Coturnix japonica: one gene and its partner. Each later gene encodes a partner of the first gene's protein in a complex. Links are inferred from orthologs where the notes say so. Each region holds a gene or a part of one and is shown on either strand. Other genes may lie near its edges.

Region 1 (4,561 bases):
GGTTCTTGTCAGCCTTTCCACCGTCAAAGTCTCTCCGGATGGCTGAATGGCCCTCTGATGTGTCAGCTGCTCCCTCAAATTTCATGTCATCTGCAAATTCACCGAGGTGCATTCTACTCCATTGTCCATATTGTTAATTAAGGTATTAAGCAGGTCTGGACCTGCTATAAACTGCTGGAGTTATTACAGTGACTTCAGATAAAAGTCCGCTCTTCACATCTGCCATATTTTTAATCCAAATATGCAGATAGACAATTCACCATGAGGAAAAGGTGGGACATAAAGAACTGAAAAACACAAATTCCAAGTTGTTGTATTTACTACAGCACTTCTGTTTCTAAAAGATTAGAGATTCAAACTGAAATGATTTAGAGTAAGTGGTGTGCTGTTTTGACTATGGTTTTGTAGTATAAGGTGGCTATCAATCCAGGTGAGTATTTACATAGAGGAATGGGTAAGCCATCCACCTACACCTTCTGCAATACAAGGAAACAGCCCAAGAGAAAGTTCTGGCTTGCAAATCCCCAACCTGAGTATATCTGAAGTATGATTTGAACGAGAGAGGTGTGGGATTTAACCACACAAGACAGAAAACCTAGCTTAGTATTGCAACACTGCATATGGGTAACCTTGTCTCTGTAAGGGAAGCATTCTCATTTTGTGTCTATTCTGTTGGTGATCTTAGCAGGCTGGTTAGGATGCTCTTGCAAGTTCCTAACACAAGTTTTCTCTAATTAGCATATAACTGGGCTTATCTATTGTCAATTAAGATACTTCCATCTGCCATTTGCTGGAAACTTAAGTGCTTAGCCCAGTTCAGAAAAGCCCATCTAGTCACTGCAAAGAGAAGTGTAGGCAGGAGATAATACTGTGCCTACATCCCATATGTTAGATTTTTTATCTGAAAGTCTACCCAAGTTTCACTCAAAACAGTTAGAAAAGGGGACTGGTTGCTCAGGATAATAATGATAGTAATCAGCTTCTAGCAGCTGAGGTCACATTTGGTCCTTTGGCATTGCCACTTCATGTCACTTTAATCACTACAGCTGAAGCAGCTCAAGATTCTGTCAAAGACTGAGATTCATAGAATGTATAAGTACATTAACCAATGGGTGCCCTTACTCCTGCACAGCATTGTGCAGAAGCTTGTGATCTCCAGAGAGATAACAGATAACATGAAGCAGATTTTTACTGATTTAGTTAATCTAGAGCTAATGCACTACAGAATCAGGAGTAAGAATACTTCCAGGAGGCAATGGTGTGTGGCTTGAGACAATACTAAATGTATCCTGTGCTCAACTTGCTTCACTTCTATGCATATCAAATAAATCACAGAACTCAATATTCAAGTTCTCCTTGGTGCTTGCACAGTACACCCTTGCACCATCCTTCTGCTCCCCACTAAGAGTTGAGACATGTTTTTGGGGCTTACGACTAAGCTCCCCCAAACCAACTATGCTCTCTGACTTGGTAAATTTTCTGTGGCTGCTGCCAACATCACCTTGGTTGAGCATCAGGTTTCAATACAACAACAAAAAAAGCCAAACTAGCAGTGTCCTTGGCAGCAGCGTACCCTCCATCCCCACGCCCCCCCATTTCCCCACAGGCTATGGCGCCGGGCCCACTCCAACACTCCGCCCTCCACCCGCTAGGCCGCCATTGTAAACGCTCCGCCCCTCTCAGCCCCGGCCCCTCCCCTTACGTCGGCGTCGGGGGGCAAGGACGGAAGCTGGTCGGTTGTGAGTCGACTGGAGAAGGTAGCCATGGCGGCGTCGGCTGTGGGCATGGGGCAGCAGTGGGTCCTGGTGGAGATGGTGCAGGCCTTCTACGAGGTGCGTTGCCGTGGGGTGAGGGGGAGGAGGCGAGGTTACGTGCTGCGCGACGGAGTCGCAGTGGGGACCGAGGCCCAACCGGAGCGACTGAGCTCTTTCGCTGCGGCTTCGCACGGCCTTGGTCCTGGTGTAGGGATTTCCTGGTACAGACAGCGGAAAGCGGGGTTCTGACCCCCAGAAGGAAACGGCCGCGAGATAGAGTGGAGCCTCGCCGGCGGCTCCACCAGCGCCTTCCTCCCTGTAGCTCTGTGGAGCGTGCAAGGCTGCAACAGATCTTTTAAAGATGCAGGCTGCTTAAAAAACTGCAGTCTGGAATGACTGTAGCGTGTGTATTTGGGTGAGCGACTGAACAAGCATTTGACTTGCCTCCAGTTAGAATAAGATGTTTTTGTGTGTTTTGTGTTTTTTTTTTTTCCAAATGGTGTTTGAAGTTGCTGGCAAGTAGCATGCTCTTCTCACTGTTTGTGGCTTTTCTTTGATATCGATCAGCGAGGCTGTCTGGAAGGAATTGCTTGTTTGTTTTACTTCTTTTGCAAAACCAGGCAGGTGGTAACAAAACAGCAGTCTCAGTTGGGAAACCTAGTTTATTGAATAGTTAATTCGCAAAAGTTAGGTGTTTTGAGTTTTATTCTCGGTCAGATGTGAATAGATAACATGACTTTGGGTTCAAGTTCTGTCTTAAAGCTGCGTGGCATTGTTGGTAATGCTTGGGAAAAATCCCAGGGGCTGGTTCAAAATGTGATCTCAAGTTCTAGCACTCAAGAAAATATCATCTTTCTACTGTGTGTGTTCTTTGAGTCTTTTAGAAGTAGTACGCACCTGCAGTATAGACTGTAACCTTGCTGAAATGAATTAACTGAACTCATCCTTTAAACCATGTGTCAAATAATGTTGCCGTAACTACACAAAGACCTTAAGTTACTTCTGCTACTAGAGACTATTGAATTTTGTTATTGTACTTTTTGTGCTTTATTTTCAGGCTCCTGCATACCATCTTATTTTGGAAGGAATTCTAATTCTGTGGATAATCAGGCTTATTTTCTCCAAAACATACAAGCTTCAAGAGCGATCTGATCTAACACTTAAGGTATGGTGGAAAAATATTTTTCTTTGTGGGAACAGTTGGTAGAAACTGATGTGTTTGAGCCACTGCTGCAGCAAATTATGCTAGTTTTTCTTAGGATATCAAGGGATAAACTTTTAAGTAAGGAATTGCTTAAACGCTTCAGTTCATGCTTCTAAAGTAAGCATGACATTTGGGAGTCTAAAAATGTTAGAAAACAAAGTAACAAAACTAATATAACCATGGAAAGACTAATGAGCTAGTAAAAAGTGACTTTAGTCTAGGGCAGGGAGTCTCTGGAACAGGTTGCCCAGAGAAGTTGTGACAAACATAAATGCGTACAATGTGTTTTACAGATATCCCTCGACTGCATACAATAAGTTCTTGCTGTGGTACTTCTCATGAGATTCATGTGAAGTTTGTTGAACTTGAGAAGTGGAAAGGAATGTTAATTGCTAGGAATAAAAATTGTAAAAAATTACACTATATGGATACTGGATACGTTAATTTTCAGTTGCAGGGCAAAGAAGAGTAAAGGCTGAAGTGCTAAGAGCTGCAGTATAGCGAAGGGTATGACTTGAGATGTTAATTATTGACACCTGTAGCTTTTTGTTACCGGTATCTGGTGTTTCCTGGATGGCCTGCTCTAGATATTTCTGCTTGATCAAGGAGCTTGGACTTGATTACCTCCTTAGTCCTTTCCAGCCTTAACTGTTCTTGATGGAAAGTACAGATTGAGGAAATGCCTTTTAGTCTGGTGATATATTTAAGTTATTTGACAATTGATAAAGGAAATTTAAATTGGTCCGATCTATGAAAATTGAAGGAATGTTCTCAGTATGAACAGCTGTATTTGGAAGGGAATGTCCTGTAAAAAAGTGCTTATGTGTTGTAAGTAATGTACAGTGCTCGCATTACAATAACATAATGTAAATGTGCAGTATGCAAAGCAGTTCTGTAATTAATTGAAAGTAATCATAAATACAGCAGTGAAGTAAAAATGTGAATAAGCCTTCTGCAGCTGGAGGAGTACTTAAGCAGACTAAAAAATCAAAGCTATGGTGGGATTCTGTCACTTTTGCAGGTGATGTGAAAAAGCTCTTTTGTGTGTGAAATGGCTGTAGGCAGCGAAGAAAATCTTAATCTTCACTAAGAATCTTCAGATAGCTTAAGCTGATCTGTTTAATGCAATATAAGATTCTGTACAAGCTGGCTTTTGTGTTTGTTGAGCTACATGTAGTAGCATGCCAGCAAGGAGAGTGCTGCTTATTTGCCCTCTCCGTTGTCCTAGTTTAATTCAAGCTGTGGTGTCCAGTCTCTGCAACACCAGAAGTAATGACTGGGATTTTTGTATGCAGGCAGTGGAGATAAGTCAGCTCACACAGTGGAGCTCAGACTACCCTTATGACAGCCAGTTACGTAACAATACTTGATGTTTCTTAGTGACTTGCTCTTGGGGATGCTGCCAGTGAAGAGCTGACTTCACATGCTACTTGTTACCAAAGACTACCAGTATTGCATAGCCATATAGCATGATCTGTCAGGACCAGTCTGACTTGGAAAACGAGAAGTAGATTATATGTTGTGCAATCTAGTGAACTTACAAGTCACACTTCTAAAACAGTGAAGAAATCCACCCAGACATGTCTCCTGGGTTTAGTCAAAT
Region 2 (4,292 bases), on another chromosome or scaffold:
CGTGTGCGTGGCTCCCCTGCAAAGCAGGGCTGCTCCCGAGGGATCCCGCCTCCGCTACAGCATCCCTGCAGCACCGGGAGGATGCGGGTGGGTTTTCCAGGTCCCCACAAGGCCGAGGTCCTCCAGGAGCAGCCGGCAGGGGAAGCTGTGGCTGTGGGCAGGGAGATGCTGCTGTGTGATGCTCAGGATGCCCCGGTCCCACCCAGCAGCAGCGATGTGCCGGATCCATCCTCCGGCCCATGAGGGCGCACACGAGGCGCTCAGCTCTACGAGCAGCTGGTGGGGGGGGGGGGGTTGGGGGCTTCAGCACCGAACGACCCCAAAGCTGCCTGAAAAAGACCCCGCCGAGCGGCTCCGCCGTTCTGCACCCTCCGCTGCTCCCCGGCAGGAGCTGAGCGTGCACAAAGCCTGCACAGATGGCTGCACGTGGGGAGAGCAGCGATGGCTGCGCTGACAAAGGCCGGGGACAGATGGTACCCAACAATGCAGCCCCCGGCCCTCAGCCATGCATGGTGCAGTGCATGCACCGAGCTGCGGGGTCACTGAGCACAGATAGCACGGATAGCAGGGCTGCAGGTGCTGAGGTGACCGCATCCCTCCATGCACAAAATGCAGGGGATCCGAAATGCCGACAGCTGGAGCCGATATCCCGATATTCCCACCCAAAACTCCAATGAACCCCAAGAGCTAAAGCTGCTCAGCCAGCAGCACACAGTGCACTATGTCCAGTGGGTATAACTCAGTATAACTCTGCATCACTCTCTTCCCTGGTTAATCCGCAAATTAACTCCATTTCCATGTTACACCCGAACACCGCGCGGTGCTTCACGCATCACGGGCCGTTAATTATGGCTACAACAAGAGAAGCGAACCAACACCGGAGCAGAACACGCACAGCACCGACCCCAAAGGGCACAAGGACCCCCCGGCCGCCCCGCTGTACCGTCACGGCGCAGCGCTGCCCCGCACAGCTCCGCTCCCGCACCGCCCCCCTCCATCCCCGCACGGCGCTGCCGCACTACAGCTCCCGTGGTGCCGGGCGGCGGGGCGGGCCGTGCCGAGGTGTCCGCCGGGAGAACGGCGGAGATCCCGGGCCGAGCCGGGGCTGGAGGATCCGGGCCGGGCGGTGAGTGCGGGCCGGGTGCGGGACCGGCCGGTTGTGCGGGGCACGCGGTGCAGCTCCGCGCTGCGGGGCCGTCGGGGATGGGAGACGGGGAGGGTCGGGCGGTGGGAGCGGGGCTCGGTGGGCGCTGCGGGGCAGAGGGCCGAGCCGTGCCGTGCCGTGCCGAGCCGTTCCGTTCCGTTCCGTTCCGTGCTGTGCCGTGCTGTGCCGTGCCGTGTTGTGCCGTGCCGTGCTGTGCCGTGCCGTGCCGCTGTTGGGATGCGGCCAGGGCTTTGTGTGCAGCTCCGGGTCGCACCGAGCTCGTTCACTTGTAGCGCTTCCTTTGTGTGCGGAGTTTCCCACCCCGCGGCCGTTTCCCACCGCCGTCCGATCCCGGCCGTGTTTGCTGCCGTCTCCGATCCGCCCGTTCAAACGGCGTTGCCATCTTGCAAAGAAAGGCTTTGAAATACTCGTTCTCTCGGGAGTTGGGGATTTGCTGCTGCCAGAGATTGGGATCGCGGCTCCGGCCGTCGGATCAGAATCTCCTGCGTGGCTGGGAACGAGCAGATCGACCGAGATAAGCACCTGCCGCCCTCCCCATCTCTGCAGCGCTCTGATCAAGCCCCGAGCAGGAGCTGCGGAGCCAGCACAGCAACCGGGGTGATGTGTTTGTTGGGTGGCAGAACGGAGCAGGAGGAGGGGATGCTCCTTTGGGGGCAAAGCAGGAGGTGAGGGATGCACGGGCTGCTCTATGGGGGCTGCTGGTGTCAGTTGTGCCACAGGGCAGAACAGCAGCGGGACCCGTGTGTGTGTCAGTGTGAGCAGTGAGGAAAGGCCCCAATCCCCCATGGCAGGGCTCTGCTCACATCCAGCTGTGCTCAGCACAGACGTCAGCACGGCGCTGACCTTCACCCTCAGCCTGGGGGAACGTTGCCCTGCCAGGACCCAACACTGCACAGCTGGGAAGTTGCAGCTCAGAGCAGTGCAGCTCCTGGACGTCCTCCTGCTTTTGTGGTTGGCTTTGGGGTTTCTTTCTGTCTGCAGGTGAATAAATCCCCAGTGTAAAATCAGAGAGCAAACGAGGAGGGATCTGGGCTGGGGGCGGGGAGCTGTGCATGGGAGCTGTGTTTGTTTGGGAGCTGTGTTTGGGAGCTTGCTCTCAGCCGGGCTTGTGCAATAACGTGCAAAGCTCAGTGTGCAATCTGAAGTGAGCAAAGAGCTCAGGCCAGGGCTGCAAACACGAGTCTGGAAATGGAAAAAGATTCAACAAGGAAAGGCTTTTTGAAGCTGGAAAAGGCCAAATTGGAAGAACACAAAGTGTTATCGCGTGGCCTAATGCTTGACCTCCCCACTGCTCTCTTGCAAGAACAAATTAACCTCCTGTGCTGTATTAATGAGAGCTTCACCACCCCAATCACTGCAGTGAGTGAGGAAACTGAGGCAGAGGAGAATTGCTTCACATTCAGCTTTGCCCTTTGCCACCCCACTGCAGTGCACAGCTGCCCTGCTTGGCAGACAGCAGCACGGAGCAGTTGCTCATTGGTTTTTAGTGCCATTAGAGCCATGGTTCATCCCAGACAGAAGCTGCACTTTATCCCACATCAGCTCTGTGTTCCTGCATTGCTCTGAACTTCCATTGCACACTTCACCCCACGTTTGGTCCCCATTCTCTGCAGGGATCCTTCATGCATTTGGGGTCCATCCATTAGCTCTCCTTTGAGTGTTCTCTAGACTAAACAAAGCCGTTTCCTCCGGCGTGGCCTTGCAGGTCATGTTTTTCCTACACCTCTGCTCATTCTCACAGCTCTGCCCTGGACTCCCTCCAGCAGAACTGGACATTACTCCAGCTGAGGCCTCACCAATATCTGGGAGGATTATTTCTCCTGTCTGGCAGGCAGCTCTCCTGTTTACGCATTCCACAGCGGTGGTTGCTTTTCTTCCTTCCCTTTTTCCCTTTCCCCCCATAGTGGGACATCTTCACCTCCTCTTACACTTCAGCACAACCCCCATGTTTCCTTCTGAGAGCCATTCAGGGCTGTGGCCACACTGAGGATGGAGCTGCTCTCCCAGCACTGACCTCCAGCTCCAATCCTGCCCCCCTGCCAGGCTGCTTTGTACCCAGAGCTGACAGCCACTAACCCAACAACCTGCAGATCCAGAGGCTCTTTCCTCCTAAACACAAACCTATTCCAGACCTGAAGCTCCCTGAGTGGCAGTAGAGACATGGGAGCATCCATCAGCTCAGCAGTGAGCATCCCAGAGCTGCACACGTGCTGTGTGAGTGAGCAGCAGGCAGGCTCAGAGCACAGCAGCTGCTGAAACAAACCAGGCCCAGCACTTAGAAAGGGAACTCGGAGTAGCTGGCAGGAACATCCAGAGCATAATGTCAGATCTGGCGTGGACTCGCCTCCTGAGACCAAGAGCTGGACAGAACAGCAGCTTGCTTTGGTTTTCAGCTGTGGAAAGCAAAGCAGCAAAAGCACGAGGCTGAACATCAGGGAGAAGTCATTGCTTTGGGATCTGCTGTGCAAGGGACAGGCTGTATTATTTCCTTGGGAAACAGGCTGAGTGTTTTATGCAAGACCTTCCCTGATCTCTGTGCAAAGATATCCTGCATTACAGCAGCTCTTTCCTGTAATCCCTGATCATTGGTAAGACAGCTCTCAGCTCCCCAGTAAGCTGTGAAACATGGATGAAAACAGTGACCTGAGCACGGACCTGCCTCTGGTTTTGTTTCAGAGGGGTGAAAACAAGAGCCAATATGAACGTGGGAACAGCACACAGCGAGGTGAACCCCAACACCCGCGTGATGAACAGCCGGGGCATCTGGCTGTCCTACATCCTTGGCATTGGGCTGCTGCACGTCGTGCTCCTGAGCATCCCCTTCTTCAGCGTCCCCGTGGTTTGGACTCTTACCAACATCATTCACAACATGGTAAGCCAACCCCAGCTCAAAGAGGCAAAATACTTTGGAGCTGTGGCCATCAATTTCGTGTCCTTTATGTTAACATCTGAGAGCATTGCAGTGGTGAATCCATCCTTGGGATTGCTTGTCTTATCTCCAGTGATATAAAAATACATGAACACATAAACCCAGAGCTATGACTGCTGGGGGCTGAGTGCAGCACAGCCGCCTGCATTTCACCCAGCTCCTTGCCCTGCTCAACCTTTGGCCTTGGGAACAGAGGGG

What was found.
Region 2: the proteins of SPTLC1 (region 1) and ORMDL3 are in contact, whole or in part, in a cryo-EM structure (PDB 7K0N), measured with the Homo sapiens proteins. The link is inferred for Coturnix japonica from reciprocal best matches to the Homo sapiens genes SPTLC1 and ORMDL3. Residues at the interface, in NP_006406.1 of Homo sapiens: Ala16, Leu17, Ala20, Pro21, Tyr23, His24, Leu27, Glu28, Leu31, Ile32, Trp34, Ile35, Leu38, Leu39, Ser41, Lys42, Thr43, Tyr44, Lys45, Leu46, Gln47; in NP_001307730.1 of Homo sapiens: Gly92, Val93, Gln94, Phe95, Thr96, Ala97, Lys100, Thr103, Ile104, Ile107, Tyr110, Phe111, Ser114, Tyr119, Gln121, Phe124, Thr128, Leu131, Met132, Leu139, Pro140, His143.

What each region holds. Positions count from the first base shown.
Region 1 is NC_029547.1:39,798,797-39,803,357, reverse strand, and holds the start of SPTLC1 (serine palmitoyltransferase 1), read left to right. Parts: upstream 1-1,695; 5' UTR 1,696-1,763; coding exon 1,764-1,832; intron 1,833-2,811; coding exon 2,812-2,919; intron 2,920-4,561. UniProt on the Homo sapiens protein: Component of the serine palmitoyltransferase multisubunit enzyme (SPT) that catalyzes the initial and rate-limiting step in sphingolipid biosynthesis by condensing L-serine and activated acyl-CoA (most commonly palmitoyl-CoA) to form long-chain bases.
Region 2 is NC_029542.1:3,976,994-3,981,285, forward strand, and holds the start of ORMDL3 (ORM1-like protein 3), read left to right. Parts: upstream 1-1,362; 5' UTR 1,363-1,765; coding exon 1,766-1,830; intron 1,831-3,841; coding exon 3,842-4,037; intron 4,038-4,292. UniProt on the Homo sapiens protein: Plays an essential role in the homeostatic regulation of sphingolipid de novo biosynthesis by modulating the activity of the serine palmitoyltransferase (SPT) in response to ceramide levels.